Nothobranchius furzeri: one gene and its partner. The protein of the gene in region 2 binds, or shares a complex with, the protein of the main gene of each other region. Links are inferred from orthologs where the notes say so. Each region holds a gene or a part of one and is shown on either strand. Other genes may lie near its edges.

The links. The genes of interacting proteins can lie anywhere in the genome.
Region 1: ahi1 (region 2) and tmem17 share a complex: the UniProt entries of both Homo sapiens proteins name them as parts of the tectonic-like complex. The link is inferred for Nothobranchius furzeri from reciprocal best matches to the Homo sapiens genes AHI1 and TMEM17.

What each region holds. Positions count from the first base shown.
Region 1 is NC_091744.1:77,709,763-77,719,511, reverse strand, and holds tmem17 (transmembrane protein 17B), read right to left. Parts: upstream 5,224-9,749; 5' UTR 5,141-5,223; coding exon 5,026-5,140; intron 4,891-5,025; coding exon 4,787-4,890; intron 4,584-4,786; coding exon 4,470-4,583; intron 4,393-4,469; coding exon 4,249-4,392; intron 4,113-4,248; coding exon 4,035-4,112; 3' UTR 3,377-4,034; downstream 1-3,376. Other genes in the region: agbl2 (cytosolic carboxypeptidase 2), read left to right, coding at 545-704, 808-934, 1,008-1,108, 1,270-1,382, 1,472-1,544, 1,862-1,981, 2,055-2,147, 2,226-2,324 and 4 more. UniProt on the Homo sapiens protein: Transmembrane component of the tectonic-like complex, a complex localized at the transition zone of primary cilia and acting as a barrier that prevents diffusion of transmembrane proteins between the cilia and plasma membranes.
Region 2 is NC_091758.1:20,117,729-20,127,986, reverse strand, and holds the start of ahi1 (jouberin), read right to left. Parts: upstream 5,789-10,258; 5' UTR 5,371-5,788; coding exon 5,364-5,370; intron 4,667-5,363; coding exon 4,557-4,666; intron 4,335-4,556; coding exon 3,763-4,334; intron 3,670-3,762; coding exon 3,584-3,669; intron 3,510-3,583; coding exon 3,323-3,509; intron 3,194-3,322; coding exon 3,001-3,193; intron 2,927-3,000; coding exon 2,831-2,926; intron 2,748-2,830; coding exon 2,562-2,747; intron 2,466-2,561; coding exon 2,313-2,465; intron 2,204-2,312; coding exon 2,071-2,203; intron 1,909-2,070; coding exon 1,785-1,908; intron 1,670-1,784; coding exon 1,440-1,669; intron 1,334-1,439; coding exon 1,224-1,333; intron 205-1,223; coding exon 86-204; intron 1-85. Other genes in the region: map7a (ensconsin), read right to left, coding at 8,547-8,557, 9,274-9,505, 9,636-9,686, 9,814-9,918, 10,038-10,206. UniProt on the Homo sapiens protein: Involved in vesicle trafficking and required for ciliogenesis, formation of primary non-motile cilium, and recruitment of RAB8A to the basal body of primary cilium.

The DNA.
Region 1 (9,749 bases), on a different chromosome or scaffold from region 2:
TGCAGATAGTTACAACATGCTTGTTCCTCCTGCTGTAATAAAGTTCATACAGGTACCGCCTGCCTGCTTTCTACCAACTACAAAACTTAACAGTAAAAATGTAAAAGTTTTTTCATCCTTTCTTTCCTTCATGAAGAATGATTTGTCACGATTCATTTAATTGTAGTTTTACTTGTGTTTGGAGCACATAAAAAAGTTTCTATGGTCTTCCAGTCCAGGCTCTAGTGTTTGAGGTGCAGCTTGATGATTGATATATAGGGCATAAATTGCGATGCTAAAATTTTTCAGTCTCCAGTTGGGGGGTTAGGGTTGAATTTTAATTCTTGCCCCTATTTTAAACATATAATAAATCAAATTGTATGATCTAAAACCTGCAGGCTGGTCTTTAACCCGGTCATCTCCATTTTATCCTGTTTGGATGTAATCTGCTATTCATTTATCAAGTTTAAAATAGCAAAACTTTCCTATATATCTTGTGAAAAATTCAAAAATTTTTCTGGTCTGAGTGAGACTTTGTGTTTATCTCCACCCACCCTTTCTCCAGACTGATGGCCGACACAGAGGTGCTTCTATACTGCGACTTCCACGGCCACAACAGAAAAAACAACGTTTTCATGTATGGTTGCAGCAGCCGAGGCGACGCATCCCTCACACTTAAAGAGAGGGTCTTTCCACTAATGATGAGCAAGAACGCAAGCAACAAGGTAAAAAAAAAAAAACTATACAGAGTTTTATATCACATTTCTAGTTTGCCTGTTTAAGAAGTTGGTTTTTATCTCCGTGTCTCATCTAAATCTTTACTCTTAGTTCTCCTTTAAAAGCTGCAAATTCCGGGTGGAGAAAAACAAAGAGGGGACTGGGCGAATCTCCATGTGGAAACTCGGCATCAGGAACAGCTACACCATGGAGGCCACCTTTGGAGGCTCCACTCTGGGTGAATATGCTCCCCCTCTATTATGTTGATGCATTTCTACACTTACACCATCATTTCTTCATTTTTACTTTAGATGACAGGAGAGGGACTCACTTTTCCACTCAAGACCTGAAGTCCCTGGGCTTTAACTTCTGTGACACCCTGCTGGACTTCTGTGACCCCGACAAGACGAAGGCGAGAGATCACAAAATGCTCCTTTTCACCTAAAAGAAACAATATATTCTACAAACTGTAATAAATAAATCAGGTTTAAAAAGTGTAATTAAATGGTGTGAGATGTTTGTTCTGTGCAGGTTTAGAGGTTAATTTTGTGTTTTTTATTTATTTTATTTTAGGTTACACACTGTTTGACAGAATTGGCAACAATGCTGGGGAAGAAGGTCAGAGAGAGAACTGGCAAAGATGTGGGCACCGACCAAAAGGTCTCTGTGTCTGAACTGGAAACAAGGTGAAATAATGTTTCAGTTTCTTGAATCTAGTGCCATTCAGGGAAATCTGAATGAAACTGATGTGCATTACTCTGCTTTGCTTTTGCAGCACCGGTGGCTCAAACAGCTCTGACTCAGATGGACTTCCAGTTCATCTCCTGCAGCAGCTGCAGAATGCAGAAGTATACAAAGACTAATTAAACCAAATTATGTTGTTTTTTTCCTCTAAGGGAAATTAGTTTGTAGCATTGTTAGTTATTTCATTTAAAAATACCCAATTTAAACAAATAAATGTTGGTATGAAGCACACCTGACACTGAAAAAAAGAAATATTTTATACTTGGTCTTTTCCAGGTGTTTTGTCCCATGACTGCTAGGAAATAGGGACAGAGCAGTGTGCAGTAAAAGTTACTTTTGTCACTTCGTTAAAAAAAAAGTCTCAGCAGCTCATCATTCCCTGTTTTGGGTAATTACCTACTCACATTGTTCTCTCCTACAGAAAAAAGTCAAGAAGAAAAAGAAACGACTGAAGTCTCGCAGAGAAAGAAACGGGCTGCAGCCAGACGGAGCGAGGAGTAGTGCACGGCCAAAAGTCCTACAACGCAGCAGCACGAGTATCGTAAGACTAGTAAAGAGCCCTTGCTGCTCAGATTAAATTAGTTCTGTAAGCTGATGAGTAACCGTTTCTGCAGGAGGCTGACCTGCCTCAGGACAACACAGATAAGCAGAGAAAAAGAGAGAAACCTGTTGGAGGAGAAAGAAGGAAACAGCAGGTAAAAACTACAGTAAGTAGAAATATGATATGTGATACAAGTAACTAGGTGGGAAGTTTGATTTCCTGATAAGAGACTTTTATTTTGAAGCTCAACACCCTCATAAAAAAGGTTGAACTCTCATCTCCCACTGGTAACCATGGAGACGCCAGTCAGGGGACTCTGAGGAAAGACTGCAAGCACATCTTGGTAAACATTATTTCGGTAACACTTTACAATAAGGGTCCCTTTATTAATGTTACTTAGTGCATTATTAAGCATGAATAAATTATTAGATAAAAGTGTTAACAACAGCTTAACCATATTATGTAATGCATTACTAAGCAGATATCGTCCATGGCCCTTTGTCCTAACCTTAAGGACACCTAATAGTTAACAATAGTGGAAATGTTTTGTTTATTAATGCACTAAGATTAATAATGGGGCCTCTATTGTCAAGTGTAACTGTTATTTCTGCTACAAAATTACATGACCTTTAATTTTTGATCATTAATGAAAGATAATAAAAAGTGTTATTTTAATTCCAACTTGTGGATCTTTCTATGGTATTTTTTTGTGTGTTTTAGGAAAACTGCTCAGGGAGCCGGTGCACTTCATGCCTTCAGCGGAGAGCGTCTCCACATGCCGACACGCGCGCAGCTGCGTCACCCCACTCAGGTAAGGTTAGGAGACACATAGGAGGTTTTCCAGCAGATAAGGACGCATGACTCGTTTCACAGGTGATGCAATAGTGAGAGGACAGTGGAAATGCTCCTCTCAGCTACTACACCTGAGTGCTCTCCTTCCACTTCCTCCAACTTTCATTCCCTCTGCGCAGCACCAGCGTTTCCCTCTGCGCCAATCTCTTTCCCACTCTCAAGTCTGCAGAGGTTTGTTTCTTGAACAGCAGCTTAAAGTCTCCATCGGTTTTTGCCTAATGCGAACCACCTTCTTCTTTCAGGGCTGACATCTCCTTTTGCAGCACCTGGCAGGTAAACTTCATGGATAGATTATAGTTTATTACAAAAGGGTGTGTTGTGTGTTCATAATTTTTGTATGCTGTGTTGCTTTCATGGCAGATGTCCCCCATCTTTGTCTACCAGCATGGCTCCAGCTGTTGTTCCAAAAAACCAGCCGCTGACGAGTTTCACCTCCACCAATACCAGCAGTCGGCATCGTTTTAGAAACAGATCTTGTCTTCAGGCGTCCTCCACATCAAACACAAACCTAATCAAGACAAAGCAGTGAAACGGGTGCCAGGATTCTTCTCAAAGTTCAGCTGCATTTTAATAGAACAAGTTATTTTTGTGACAATGATGCTTCATTGGGAAGATCTAACAGAAAAACACATACGTTTTATACCAAATCTCACTTATCTCTTCGTCTTGTGACAATAACATGCTTTAATTCTTCTGATTATTCTAATGCAATCTCATGATTTCTCAAATAATATTTTCAGTACATGAAAATAAATGTTGTAAAAAATATAAAATAAAATAAAGCACTTGGGTGTTTCATGAATTTTGTTGAAACTTTCTGTTTTGGTCAGAACGTTTCAGTCCCTCTGAAGCAAAAAGCTCCTGAACAAAGAGCAGCGTAAATGTCGGTAACTTTGTACAAAAATTTCTTTTGTAATTAAAAAATAACTAAATGGTCAACAAATCTAAACCAGATGCTAACTAACAGTACAGAGTGAGTCAAGTAAACATGATTTACTTCAAATTTACAAAAGCAATGATACAAGTGGAACAAAATACAAAAATAAATATTTTCTATTATTTTTTAGCATTAAATTTAAAATTGTGTGAAGAAAGTGTACCAAATCCTATATGCAAATACATAGTTTTTGTCATTTGAGACTGGGAGGTATGAAGTAAGAATAAATCCTGATCAAATGGAACACCAGAACATATGTGGACGTCAGTCAAACTGTTGGAGATGAAACTGGCTTCCTGTGTGTCTAACCATTTCCCGCAGGGCCACAAAACCAAAGACAGCCTGGATCAATCAGAAAACAAAAAAAAAACAGATTACAATCAGTCACAATTACTTGATCTCAAATTTGAGAAAACACAATAACATGTGTATTTAGGTGCATTTGCCACGTAAAATGGAGCTGAGAATCCAGTCATACCTGTGTGAGGATAAATATGGCAAGAACTATGTGGACACCTCTCTCCAAGGGCAGTATGATTATGGCTTCATTAAAAAGTTGAAAAAGAATGAGTGGAAACTGCAGCAGGATGCTCAGCAGCCAAAAGCCGGCCAACTCTGGAACCTTCCACAGATCAGAAATTACATTCAAACCCCACCCTGCATTCAGCACCTGTATCATGTCATCTGAGATGGTCTCACCTTTTCTTGCAGGTTTCCAGAGTAACCAAGATAAAGTCTGATGGCCTCAATCAGAGTCATCAGTAGAAGAACAGTCACAAGGACAAACTTGTAGTAATTTGGAAGGGCAGGATACTGCAAGAACAACTACCATCAGCATTCTTGTTGTGTTGGAAGCTTCAAAACATACATGAAAAATCTGATTCTAAAATGAATTGCTATAGTTTAATACATATCCATACTTAAGCACCAAAGTATCCTAAATCTAGCTTAGATATTTGGGATTTTTCTTTCTTTCTGGGTTTTCTGCTCGCGGCTTCCATCCACCAACCTCGTACCTTGAGGTGAAGCATCACAGCTTCACTGATCCACCAGAACGGGAAGAACCACGTGTTAAAGTACAAAGACATCTGGAGCTGGAGGCTGGACAGAACCCGTTTGTCTAAACACATACAAAAAAAATGAGGGGAACTAACTAAAATCGGTATGGTAAAGTAACAAGGCTACACACATCCATGCTAACATCCATGCTAACTCGACTTCATAGTTAGCTTGTGTTTTTGTTTTTTTTTTTTACCGTGAGGTATAAACGAGTCGTTGTGTTTTGAGAACGGCTCATTACGAGTCTGGTCGAATAAAACATTCCGAGAAAAATCTTCTAAGCGCCTCCTAACTGTCTCCGGCAGCTCCATTGCAAAGAAAATCAGGCTAAAAACAACATGACCAGAGGAGAAACACTTCCGCTTTTTCCTACTAGCTCCGTCGTGAAAGCCACCGTCGTTTCCATGGTAACCATTGATGGTAGTGGGGGTGAGAGAAAGTGAAAGGCCAGAAGCAAAACGTGTCTCCTTTTGCGTTTTCAAAACTTCCCAGATTTTAACTACATTGATAATAAAAATTTAAAAAGCGAGACTAGATAGGGGGGAGAGTATAATGTGTAGCTCAAATAATATTTATGGAAGCTGATTAACGCTACTCATTAAAAAATATCTCATTTCATTATTATGAGATAGCATTTGATATGGCTTTATGTCTCAGAATAATTAGTTACTATGAGACAGCATCATAATTTTTACTAGCTATCTCATTATAGTGATACTAGGGTTGCAGCTATCGAACATTTTAGTATTCGAACATTCTATCGAACCCTCTGTTGATTCTCTTTGACAATGTTTTAAGTGAAACAAAATTGTGGCTTTCTGCAAAAAATGTGTATGTAAAAATAGTATGTATTCAATAGGTGTTGTCTAGTTCCCTCCCTCTCTGCACCAGTAAAATTTGGTGCACATATTTAAACCCTCCCACTGTCCTAATGGGTGTGACCCCACGAGGAAAGTTGACCATTGAGCAGGGTTGATGGTTTATCCCTTGGGTCCACGTGGCAGGGGTGAGGAGTGAGCACCACCTCACCCCTGCCACGTGGACCTCAAGGGATAAACCATCAATCCTGCTTTATGGTCAACTTTCCTCGCGGGGTCACCCATAAAGACAGTGGGAGGGTTAACAAAGTCTTGAATCAGTAAAAAATAGTTCATGAAATTTAATTAATCAAACCATTCATACCATTTAATGATTAATTTCCACCCTACGTGATGAGATGTGGGGCTGAAATGAATAGATAGTATCTCATAATTATGAGACGCTATCCCTAAATAATGAGATTGTGTCTTGTTATTATGAGATAGGTAAGTCATAATTATGAGATACATTTTTTTAATCAGAGTGGCAGGAATGGGCTTCCATACTTATGGGAACCATGCTCAGTAAGTTTTTTTTAGTTATACAAGTCAGGCAAATAACACCAGGAGGAGGAAAAAACCTGTTTCATAGTTGTTGTTTTTTTGCTTTAAGAGAAAATGAAAATTACTGATTGTGTGTGAAGCCACTCCCGCTCTAGCAGAAACTAGGATGGCTGCAACAAGAGAGGCAGCTGATTCTCTGTCCAGCTACATGTGTTCAAAGCTGATGAAGAACCCTCTTTACTGTGGACATGTGGACTTCTGCATGGACTGTGTGAACAGCTACTGGGTCCTGAAGGAGACGAGAGGTGTTTACAACTGTATTCAGTGTCTACACACATTCCCCTCAAGACCTGTGCTGAACAAGAACACAGTTCTGGCTGATCTGATAGTAAAACTGGCTAAATCAGACCAAGCCACCATTGCTGGAGAAGAGGAGTCTGGGTCAGAAGGTGTGGAGTGTGATTTCTGCACTGTGAAGAAGCTGAAAGCTATCAGATCGTGCTTGGTGTGTCTGGCCTCTTATTGTGCCACACATGTGCAGCCTCACTGAGTCTGCTGCTTTCAAAAGGCACAAGCTGGTGGAAGTGTCATCTTCCATGCAAGAGAAGATCTGCTCTAAGCACGACAAGCTGCTGGAGGTTTGCTGTCGCACTGACGATGAATGCATTTGTCTGCTTTGTGTCATGGATGAGCACAAAGGTCATTACACTGTATCAGCTGCAGCAGGGCGGAAAGAGAAACAGGTACGCTTTTTTTGGTTGGTTATTGGATCCCAAAGATACAGCATATAGATAAAATGTAGAGACTTTATTCCTACATTTTAAATGTCCTTGTGGTTGAACACATTATTGAGCAAAAACAAATAAGTAAAACTTCTATATTTTATTAGAAACATGTTGGACACAAGAAGCTATTCCAGCAAGGACTTCATGAAAAAGAGAAGCGTCTGCGACAGCTGAGACAGAAAATAAAAGCATTACAGGTGGTTATAGTTAACAGATTAACACGAACACATTATTAAATTATTAAATAATATGTGTATATATTTATTTTTCTTTCTTTCAGTGCTCTAGAGATGCAGCACTTGATCAAAATGAGAAGGCCTATGCTGAACTGGTGTTGGTGGCAGATTAAAGACGTGCTGCTCTGAAGGAACAGATCATGCATCAGGAAAAAGCAGCTCTGGGCCAGGCTGAGGCACTCATAGGACGACTCCAGAGGCAAACCAGTGATCTGAGGAAGAGACGGGATGAGCTGAAGCAGCTGTTATTAACTGATGATAACATTTATTTTCTGGAGGTGAAAAAACACAAACTCATGCACAGTTTATGGAGTTTATATGGCAGAATTTAATGCTCTTGTTTTATAATTGTCCAGCAATACAGGCAGATTTTTGATGGGAAAGAACTTGATGCAAGCCCTACGTGCAACTTTGACCCACATGTAGCCTTTGATTTTGTGACAAAGGCTTTGTCCGACGTGAGAGACAAAATGGAAATTGCGACAAAAGCTATTCAAGAAATGTCAGAAACAAGTAAGAAAACATATGTTCTGGTGTGTGTGTGTGTGTGTGGTGCTCTTAATGAAACATCCCATCTTCTGTTTTTAGTTGAAGCTGACGCCAATCCAAAGACCAGGCAGGATATGTCTGTGTGTGAGTGATTTGTGTAAAACATTTCCCATCTGGCTTCAGCAGTGATCAAACTGAATCACATTGTCTCTCTTTGGACATTTCAGATTCCTGCAGCCTGAGTTTGAATCCCAACACGGCATTTGACAACCTGCTGCTCTCTGAGGGAAACACTAAGGTGACCTGGATAAAGAGGGCCCAGCACTATCCCAACCACCCGGAGAGATTCACAAAATCCGATCAGGTGTTGTGCTCTGAGGGTTTGTCTGGTGTTTGTTACTGGGAGGTTGAATGGAGGGACCCTCGGGTCAAGGTTGCTTTGTGCCACAAACAAGCCAAGCTGGAAGAAAGTGACTTTGGATACACAGATCGGTCCTGGTGCATTTCCTTCACAAACTCTTCGAGCTATTTTTGGCACAGTGGAATGAAAAACCAAAATATCTGCTCCAGTCTCCCCTACAGTGGACGTTTATCTGAACCACAAAGCAGGGAACTTGTCATTTTACTGTGTGTCTGATGCCGGTGAGATGATGCTCCTCCACAAGGTTCAGACCACTTTCTCCCAGCCGCTGTACCCAGGTTTCATGGTCTCTAGAGGAGCTTCAGTCAAAATAATCATCTCCAGGTCAGGGGTGTCCAAATCAAATTCCCACTGGGCCGAAATGAAAAACTGGGACGAAGTCGTGGGCCAAATTCAATATATATATATTTTTAAAGTGATAACAATGTGCACATTTTCCTTTATCTACAGCTGTGTATGGTTGAACCTATTCATTTGGAAACAAACTTAGTTTTGCAGTAACACTGAATCTGGAATAACAAAATTACACACGAGCAAATCAATGTTTAATAAAGCACATCGGTGGTATTCGTTACTTATTATGTCTCAATTCTTTTAAAGACTTGTATTCCTTAAAATGTGTATACATTCAGCATTGTTTTTTGATCTTTTGAATTTTTTAAGTATTTCTATTTTATATTTTCTTGTATATTCTTATTTTTTAATCTCCTTTGTTGCTCCTTTAATGAATGTTATTGCTGCTGTGACACCAAGCTTTCCCCACTGAGGGACAATAAAGGGATTTTCTATTTATTTCCATTCTTTCCATTTCATAAGTTAGTGCTGCTGAACATGGAGAGCATCTGAGCAGCTGGACCATGCAGTTGCGTCAGTGTGGAAAGATAAACACTGCAGCAGCCACAGAGTCGAACAGATTTGAGAGGGTCGTTAAATCATCTCGGTCTGGAAAGTCGGTGCGCTCTCTGTCAGCAGCAGATTACTGAGAGGTTAAAATCCATTGCTGGGCTTGAAAGTAGGCAAATTGCTGATTAAACTCGGCGCTGAGGGAGTGTTTTGGGTTTATCCGATGCGGCGGACGGTACCGCTGCAGACGCTGACATGAGTAGCATGGGCACTAATGACTGTAAAGATACCGGGTTTTCTCCTTGAAGCATAAACATGTTCCATCTTTGCTGAAACGCCTTCCTTCTGCATCCATCTTCCTGGACATTTTTGGATAATTTGTGGATAGTTATTTTCACTTGTTGTAAACACGAATTTGGATACACTGCAACCTAGTGGCGAAATACTGACACTGCACTGGGAACACAATCGCCATGTATTGTGGGAAATGTAGTTTATAGTCAATGTGCACTTTGAAGCAGCATAGACCTATTTTAAGACACTCGAAGCTCTCGCGGGCCACATAAAATGATGCGGCGGGCCACATCTGGCCCGCGGGCCTCGTGTCTGACACGTGTTCTAGAAGTTCCAAAGACCAGATGTAAAAGTCGAGGTGATCGCTTCTTCCGGACTGTTGCACCTCGACTTTGGAATGATCTTCCTTTATCCTTACGTAGCATTGACAATCTGGACACTTTAAAAAAACCAACTAAATAACTTTTTATTTAGCGCTGCTTTTACCCAAT
Region 2 (10,258 bases):
TATCTATAACATGACTTTACTCATTCCTCTTCAAAGTTTGTTGGTGTAGCTATCATTAGAGATTTTTTATTTTTTTCTAACTTACATCCTTAAGTCCATCATCCTCAGGATGCTGTCTTTGGCGTGTATGAGCAGGCACCGACCATTAGGGTGGAGCTGCAGCATGCTGATGGGTATGCTTCGCAGGTCATCCTCAGAGATTTTCTGCAGAGACAAGAAAAAAGTCCATCCATCCATTTTCAGCCGTTTATCCGGAGTTGGGTCGCGGGGGCAGCAGCCTAAGCCGAGACACCCAGACTTCCCTCTCCCCAGCTACTTGGGCCAGCTCTTCCGGGGAAATCCCAAGGCATTCCCTGGCCAGCTGGGAGACGTAGTCCCTCCAGCGTGTCCTGGGTCTTCCCTTTGGTCTCCTCCCAGTTGGACGTGCCCAGAAAACCTCACCAGGGAGGCGTCCTGACCAGATGCCCGAGCCACCTCAACTGGCTCCTCTCGACGTGGGGGAGCAGCGGATCTACTCAGAGCCCCTCCCGAATGGCTGAGCTTCTCATCCTATCTCTTAAGGGAGAGCCCAGCCACCCTGCGAAGAAAACGCATTTCGGCTGCTTGTATCCGCACTCTCGTTCTTACGGTCACTACCCAACGTTCATGACCATAGGTGAGGGTAGGAACGTAGATCAACCGGTAAATGGAGAGCTTTGCCTTCCGGCTCAGCTCTCTCTTCACCACGACAGATCGGTACAACGCCCACGTCACTGCAGACGCAGAACCAATCTGCCTATCAAACTCACACTCCATTTTCCCTCACTCGCTCAAAGAAGAAAATATTTGCAGAGAAAAATATCTTTTTGTGTCTGTGAGAATTTAGTTTGACTCCAATTGAACAAATCTAGACTAGAGCCCTACACTGGGACTGGGATCCCACAGAAACCAACGCTAATCTGGTGGATGCTGGCAGTTGTGAGACTGCTGTAGGAGGGAGCGGGTGGCTAGAAGTATACCACGAATCTCAAGACTGTTGATAGGATGAAGAGTACAACTGAGGCTACAGAGGTAACACGCGACATAAATATAAACGTATTTGATCGTAAAACATGTTGTTTTGTTATTTAATGGAGCTGCAGGTGGAGGTGGGGTTGGACACAAACTTTGCGAGATTGCATGGGAGTGACAGAAACAGACAACATAAAGAATAGTCCCACACGGGCTCTAATCTAGACTCGTACCCTCTCTATGCACCAACGATGACATGGCTTCTGTCGGTTCTTGTCATCATTCACTGAAGTTTTCCACACGATGATGGTGCCTGTGTTGTCTGCAGAGAACATCCTAGATCCTGTTTACACAAAAGAAATTACCATAAACAGTCAGAGGTGTTTAGGAGGGACTGAACCAGATGGGAAGGACTTGGTGGGGTCATCTAAACATTTGGAAGCTAATACCTTCAGAGTCAAAACAAATGGTGTTGATGAAGCTGCTGTGACCCTCAAACTCTTGCAGCAGCTGGCCGTTCACATCAGGGACATCAAGCCTCCACACTCGCACCAGACAGTCGTAGCTCCCTGTCACTGCCAGGTTCTGAGCGCTGGGGTGGTACTGAGCGCAGTACACGAAGGACGGATGAGAGAGGACCTTCTGGGCTGTTTCTAGAAGCATCTCGACATTCCACTCTCTGAAGGAGGAGATGAAAAGGAAGAAAGTGCTGTTTTATAAAATGTATTCCGAAGCTTAACAAAATCACACTGATATAGTAGGAGAGGCTACTGCGCCCTCTTGTGGGAACTTACCTCACCGTTCCGTCTGAGGAGGCAGACAACAAGCTTTTATCATCTCTGGACCAGCAGAGATCGTACACTATCTTCAGATGGCCGCTGAAGGCAGCTAACGCTCTGCCGGAGGGAATCTCATACACTGGAAAATTAGACAAATACGTTCTTTTAAAAGGTGCTTCCTCTCCCTTCTCCTGCATGCATGGATGGTTGAGGACTTCAATACAAAGTTGTGTAAAGAAACTCCCAAAATCGTTGCTGCTCACAAATAAGGTGAATTTTGTACAGATGAGGTGTGGCTCACCTACGACGGGGAAAGCATCTTTGTCGGCACAAGCAGCAGCCAGCATGGTTCCAGCGTGAGAAAACAGTACGGTGAAACATCCCATCTGACCCCCACGGAACGACCAGACCAGTTTGTTAGGGATTCGGCAGATCTGCAACACACAGACAAGGTCTAGTCCTGAGCTCTTCACTTCCTTAAGTAGATCAGATAATAAACATTTGATAGAAAGCAGCATCATGTGACTTGGAGCCTCCGCCGACCTGACCAACAGCACGGCTCCATCTCAGGATCGGCTGCTTGCTATCAGGAGGCTGTGTCAGAGTTTTCTGTGTGATCTCTTTCTGCAGATCACTATAGGTGGTGCTGCCTCTCTCCTCCTGTAGCGCCATCATAGATCGGATACCGGGGTCCACCTGCACAAACGGCACAAACCAACTCTGCTTTACCAAAGTAGAAGTATGGACAACAGAAAAACGTAATGAATCATCAGTTTCTAGCTGCAGACTTACATGTTCTGGGAGTTTGATCCCTTTCACGGTAACATAAAGGGTGGAAGCATAATGGATTCGTGGGTACTTCCTCCACCACTCAAACACTTCTATCGTTTTAGTTTGTCTCTTTGCCCGAGGTGGAGGGCAGAAGAGCTGGAGACGAAGTTTACTGTCGATGTTTAAAACATCATTTGTGCCAACAAGCTAAAATATGGAGAGAAAACATGTTTAAAAATGATGAACAGTAACAAATATAGACTGACAAGTGAACAGAATGTTCTCTTTACCTTCAGAAACGCCCATGCGACCTTTCTGAACCCTTGCTCGTGTTTATCAACGTCCAAGTTGGCTTTTACCTCCTCCATGGTCTTAAAATCCAGGATCTTAAAAAATATTTAGAAAATAAGTGACTTTTCTTAAAATATGGTTATTCACTTGGTAATGAAGTATATCTCACTTCAAAGAAGAGGATGACTCTGGGGCTTTCATCCTTTTGCTCAACAAAGTAGCCAAAGCGTTCGTTGAATATGATTAGCTCTTGCCACTCGGGGATGATGGATTTGTTCTTCTTGAAGTCAAAAGGCTGAGTCATGATAGGGAGGATATGGTCGACGTTCTGTCCCTCATAATAGGAAGACACAGGTCGATGGCTTCAAAACACAAACAGATTTCACTTTTAATTAAATGTTTGAGCATGAAAACATTTTTTTAAACTGTAGCCCAAATATTTTAACGCTGATAGGTGTAGCAGCATAAGATCAGAGATAACTTCTTCTCACCAGTCCCTTTTCTTCACATAATTGCCCGTGATCTCATCAACAACGTGGATCTTCACCATGGGGTGCGAGATCAGTAAGTCCGTCTTCAGGCGATCCGTTTTATGAACGAACACTCCCAGAACAAGACCGTCATCAAATGTCGGCTTTTGCTCCTCTGCTGCTTCAGCTTCACTTTCTTCTTTGACAACTAAAAAGTTGAGAAAAATAACTCATCAAAATCTCTTTTTATGTTACACAAATTACTTTGTTTTAAAAAACTACCGTGCTTCTTCTTCTTTTTCTTCTTTCCCTTTGATTCAGTTTTATTTTCCTCATCAGCATCTGGATTGACTTCCTCATCTTGATCCCTGATTAAAGAAAAAAAAAGTCAAAATGCTGCTTAAACTTTATTCTTGATATCAAAAACTACAATAAAGCTAAAATTAGAGAGAAATACACACCCTACATCTGACTCAGTTGTTACAGATTTCAGCTTTTTCTTTTTCTTCTTCCCCATATCATTATTCAACACAGCACTTTGTGAGTTAACAGTTTCCCGTTTGACCCTTGTTTTCTTCACAGTCAGCTCCTCTTCCTGTGCCATCTGCTGCTGGTATTCATGCAGTAGTTTATCTTCTGGATCCTCCACCGGACTCTCTGCAACATCTTCTACATTTTCTCTGACTTTTCCCTTCTTACTTTTTCCTTTTCGTTTCTTTTCACCAACAGCAGCTTCTGGATTCAAAGTATTGTCGGCTCTAGAAGCATTTGCCCCCTCCTGTAAGTCCTCTGGAATGTCTTTGGGTACAGGTAAAGAAGGGAGGTCCCTCTTACTCTTCCTTTTGGCTTTTGATGCTTTAACTTCTTCATCCTTGCTGTTGTTACAGTTAACCTGTTCTGCTGTTTCCTTTTCTCTTCGTTTGTTTTTGGAATAACGAGGGCTGCCCTGTTCAGGGTCATATGTGTTTTGCAGAATGGTTTCGTCATCTTCTGTGTCTTTCTCAAGGTTCAGCTTCCTGGTCAGATTCTGAAGCTTTGAAAAAAGAGATCGACAATAATAATACATGTGATTTATTAATATTTTAAATTGCTAGAACTGGTTCACATTAAAGAAAATAGAACATTCTTCTGTTGCAGATGCTTTCTATAATTATATTTCATAAATAACTCAAGTTTGAATACAACACTGCAGCCAGAATGTAGAACATTTGATGACAACCACTGGGTGGAAAACAGCACATGTCAGAACACCTACCACTATGGTCTCGTTTGCTTCATGGATTTTCTTCTTTGACTTTTTCTTCTCAGATCCTGAATATTTTTTGAAGACTTCATTAAATCTTTCCCGGGTCTCTTCACTCACACCTGGAAATGTTTATTTTTTGTTATCTATACAATTCTTGATTACAAAAGTTGCTTGAGATAAACACTTTAGAATCATTTGCTGAATTTGTAAGTGGTTGTAAAAAAACACTGATTACATATGGTAGTGGCCTGTAATAGTACGGCACCTTCTTAGGGTTCAACAACCCCCCAAGGCGCACCACAACACAATCAGTCATTCACACACACACATACACATGCTGGTGATGATGAGCAACAATGTAGCCACAGTTGCCTTGGGGCGCACTGACAGAAGGGGGACTGCTGAACACGGGCGCCACCGGTCTCTCCGACCACCACAAGATGGGTTAAGTGTCTTGCCCAACGACACAATTCTCTGGCGGGAGCTGGGATCAAACCTGCAACCTTCTGGATGCTGGACAACCTGCCCTACCTCCTGAGCTACTGCCAGCTTTGGTTTTGTTTGACTTCCATGAAAATACAAAACAACATCAAATAATCTGAGAGAATGTAATAAATTAAAAGGATTTTAATATTAATTTAACAATAACACTTAATATATATTTTTTATTTAGTGTAAAACTTTAATCTCTGGATTGGGTGGTCACTGAAAGATATTTGACTGGTTTACTAGTTATTAAATAATTTCTATATATTTTTTAATTGATTTATTCACAAAAATTGTTCTTTAGTCGCTTCAGGACAGCTGAACACTCACCTGGCATTTTCAAACATCGTGCTGTTTCTCATTCTGAGGGAAAAACGCCAATAATCCAGAAAAAAGCGTATCTAAAATACAAAGCAAAATGTCGCAGCTCACATTCGCGACTCTAAAGTGAGCATTAAGTTTCACTTAATGATACTAGAACGTGTCCGCTTAACGGAGACACACGAGATGTTTTATTAATAATATTTGTTAGCTATTTCACCAGAAGCTAGTTAGCTAGTTGCTAGCTAAATTGCTCTGGTCACGTACTACGCCTAAAAAAGTTATATCTTTGTTATTGAAATACATTATTGAACCAAAATATAACCATATAATTGTTTTTAATAAGTTAATGTGAGCTTTCTACTTGAAACTCCTTGTTTGAACGCGGGTTACGCTTAAACTGTCCTCTACCGCACAACGCCGTGATGGTTTCCAAGTCAACAACGTACGGGCGGAGCGACGTAGATAAACAAACAAAAATGTAACCAATGAAATTTAAGGACACGAGAACGCTATAGCACGTAATGAGTGTAGCTCCCCCCAAATGCTGCGTTCAAAGACGAACATAAACTTGGATTTTCCTAACTTATTGCAAGAGCTCAAAGCAAACAGTGTGGCTCACTTCTTTCTCCCACAAATTAGTCAGGATTAAATTTACTTATACGTTTCTACCCGTAAAATGCTATATTTTTAATTAAGATAAAAGTTGGAGAACACATACATTCATGGTTTACTTTTCGAGCTTTGTAACTTCAGTGAAGGATGAATTAAGAAAATTATCATGTCAGAGTATTCAAGTTGTCTTGAGCTATAGATTTTCTATTTGATACTTGCACAAATGTGTAAAGTGTCTGAACAGTTATATATACATTCCTAACACAAACTATAATTATGCATTACATAACAGTCTTGTGACTTTACAGGTGAGTCCTGCAGGTGAAGCAGACACAAGTGTCAGAACATTTCATGTGAAGAATCACGGCTTTTATGAGAGCTGCTCCAGGTTGCTCAGAGGACTTTTTGATCGTTTGAAGAGATTTTGGGGAGATGTTGAACAAAAAGTAAATGAAGTTTTCAGAGAAACCTTCAATGTACCTGCTTAAGGAACACACCTGAGATTGAAATATGAAATATGAAATAGGATTCAAATAGTAACACACTTATTTGATGATTAGCTCAAAATAAAAATAAAAACGTATTAATGAAAATACCAAAATATTTCAGATTTATGCAAAAAATGATCAATAAAACTTTAAAGGCGTCTCATGAGTTTTCCTTGTGAAACCCATCAGAATCGTGGGTTTATTAATTTATTTTCCATTTTAAGTTTATTCTCCATATATTTTCTGTAACAGCCATGTACAAAATCATTAAGGGCCGCACTTTGGGTACCCCTGATCTGAGATCTGCCCAGATTAGCTGCAAAAGGATTTTTGTTTAAATGAAAGGAAAAGCTGCAGAAATGTTCCATTAAAATCTCTGTTTTCATTTTCCAAAGTTCCTATTTAGATGCATGAGCATTTTCACATGACCCAAAGTCTTTGAGTAATTCAATCATAGATCGTCCAAGTATCAAAAAGAAGGAGCAGTTTGTACTAGTGAACATAATCCGGTCCGGGACTGGTTTGTGCTTTATGTTAGTTTTCTGAGGATTTTTAGACTAGATCTATGAGACAGGAGATTTGTGCTTTCTTCTTCTGCAGATGGACACATTTCATCGGTGCTGGCTAACAGCGAGCTGGAGGACTAGCTATGGGAGGTGCATGCACAGATAGATCAGGCAGCTGCTGCAAATGATCCATGCTCCTCTCTCCTGTTAACCCATGACTCACCCAGAACATGTTTACTTTCATGCACTGAATGGAGAATCCTTGAAGAACCATGCATTTTAGTGTTTTTACTCCACTGTTTTTATTTAAACATGAGATCAAAAGGATAGATTGAGCATAGATTCAACTTTAATCAATTATGGCATATATTCAGACACTTTAACAAGCTAGTCATGAGCAGCACTTAAGCTATTAGATCAAATAGGAAGAATCCGTCACATTTTCTACTTTTATTATAATAAACACATTTAACCTACGGGACTTTGCTTTGTTGGGTGGTTGCACAACATCAATAGCCTGGCAAGCCAGACTAAATAAATGTATTATTTAGTCTGGCCACGCTCCATTGACGGCTCTCGGTTGTGGGGCGGGTTCTACCGTTGTCTTTCAAATGATCTCCGCATTCCATTGGACAATGAATGTGACATACTCTTGTTTCACTCTGTTGCATCATCCCACCCACCAGGCAAATAGAGTGCCCTGATTGGCCCACAAAGCGGATAAAGCTCTGTGATTTGCTCACTAAGCAGATAGAGCACTATGATTGGCCCACCATTATGGACCAATCACAGCTCTTTACGTGTTTGAAACCCCTCTAGAGAGCTGTGATTGGCCAGCCAGAGCCCTGGTAGGAGCTGTGGAGGTTCCAATGGAGCATGCCTAGACATACTTTGCAAAGCAAGAATTTGGTCTAGTTCACTAGGCTACAACATCAAAGCAACAGTCAGTGCAAAAACAGCATTGTGCATTGTATCCTCTAAAACCACACACACACACACACACACACACACACACACACACACACACACACACACACACACACGCACGCACGCACGCACACACACACACACACACACACACTTATAAAATTAAAGCAAGTCTTTGGAAGCTATGCTCCTGTAGCAGCTTTTACATATGTGATTGTTGTCTCTCCGATTGCAGTAACTCATGTTTCACATACACACGTCTTGATCTATTCTACATCTGCAAAGGAAGGCAGAGCACTTTGGAAGCAAGAGCTATCAGGTAAGAGCAGAAAAGCACAGAACAAGATGTGACTGTTGGAGTGGTCAGTAACGGCCTTTGACAACAAACTATCATCAGGTACGAGCTCTACAGCACTTTAGGATACGTCTGTAAGTGATCAGAATTCTGCTATTTTAGATTAATATGTAATATTTAACTGATGTAATATTTGTGCCACTGACTACAAACAGATTAGTAAGAAGATGCTGACGTCCTCCCGAGGAGGCAAGGCTGTGAGTTTACATGCTCCATCAAGGCGCTGAAGGTTAGCAACAACATGGCTGTTCTGCAGCTTCCTGCGGCTCTCCAACGATGTCCCTGTCTACTCAGCAGGACATCAGATGACTTCTGCACAATGGAAAAATGCAAAAACTTATTACAAAAAAGGCTTTAAAGAGTATTTTCAACCACTTCAATGCAGAAATGATACAGTGTCTGAAAACTGACGATATATTTGTCTTTCTTTTTTACCTTGGGGGGGTTTAAGGACATCGAAGTGAGGGTGGGATGTGTTCAGACTACCAAACACATCCAGATAAATGCATCCCAGAATTAAATCAGTCATTTTCAGTGTGTAGAGGGTTTGAAGAGTATGCATGGATTATAAAAATCTTCCACTTTCATTTTAGGGGTGGCAGTAGCTCAGGAGGTAGAGCAGGTAGTCCGGTAATCGGAAGGTTGCAGGTTCAATACCGGCTTCTACCAGAGAATGCTGTTGTGTTCTTGGGATAGACGCTTAGCCCAGCTTGCCTACTGGTGGTGGTCGGACGGACCGGTGGTGCCAGTGTATGGGAGGCCTCGCCTCTGTCAGTATGTCCCAGGGCAGCTGTGGCTACATTGTAGCTCATCACCATCAGCGTGTGATTGTGTGTGTGAATGGGTGATTGTGTTGTAAAGTGCCTAGAAGGCACTATTCAAATGTAGGCCCTTTACCACTGACCACAAGTAAATCATCTTTGAGAATAGACGACCCAGATGTGCATCCAGATGAACAAGCTGCTAATTTGGGGCAACCATCCTGAATGGTGGCCCATGCACACAGGTTTAACGTTAGTTTTTCTCACCTGCTCTTTGCTGGGTCTGGATCTCCTCCAAACCAGAAAGGGCTCTCAGTGATCTTCGCTCTCTGAAGGCCACCACCGGTACCACGTCCTCCTCGTTGCTGAACCCCAGCTGGGAGGACTTGGCCCCTACTGGCAGCTTGACAGCGTCCTCTATCGTTCCGTTTTGCACAGCAGGCACTGTGTTTTCCTTTGGTTGGGACTGACTTGGAAGGATCCTCGCTAGTGCAGGTTTCTGTGATTATAAAAGGATAAATGGTTTTGGTCAAGGATGAGCTGTGTGCTTTTCATTAGCTGCTGCTGGATGTGCGTCACAAGAGACCCGGGGCGGTGTGCTGTTTTGAAAACTGAGCTGCAAATCTCACTGTATCTGGAGAATCTGTCCTTCTGGTTCTCCGCATGATCTCCTCAAGTCTCTGTAAAGGGTTGTAAAAAAATAGTCTTTGTCTTTAGGAGAACAACTTGGGATGTTTTTATTCTCGTGTGTACAGATAAACTCAAATGTTAATCTGACACTGAATCTTTGTTCATTTTCAAACCGACCTTTTTTCTTGCTTGGCGTTCCGCCTCGTCTTTCTGTGCTGCAGTGTCTCGCTCTCTCTTCAGTTCTTCAGCTCTCTCTCTTTCTTTTGATAATTCTTCTTCTCTCTGTAAGACACATCCACAAGTAAAACAGGAATAGGATTGAAAAATAAACATGGTTCCATGTAATGCAGACGTTTTCCCCCTCATGCTCTCTGACAGTAAAAGCTGCACATTTGTGACACCTGCTTCTGCAGAAGGGCAGCTTCCTTTATAGCCTGAGCTCTCTCCTCTTCCGCTCTTCTCTGCTCCTCTTCCTCCCTCCTCCTCTTCTCTTCTACGAGTCTCTGGGCCTCAGCCTCCTGTTGAGCTCGCTCCTGAGCTCTCCTGCGCTCCGGTTCCTCACGGTTACACCTGAACAGAAGTTGCAGGATTCATAAAGATGTCCTTATGTTTTCATTTCTCA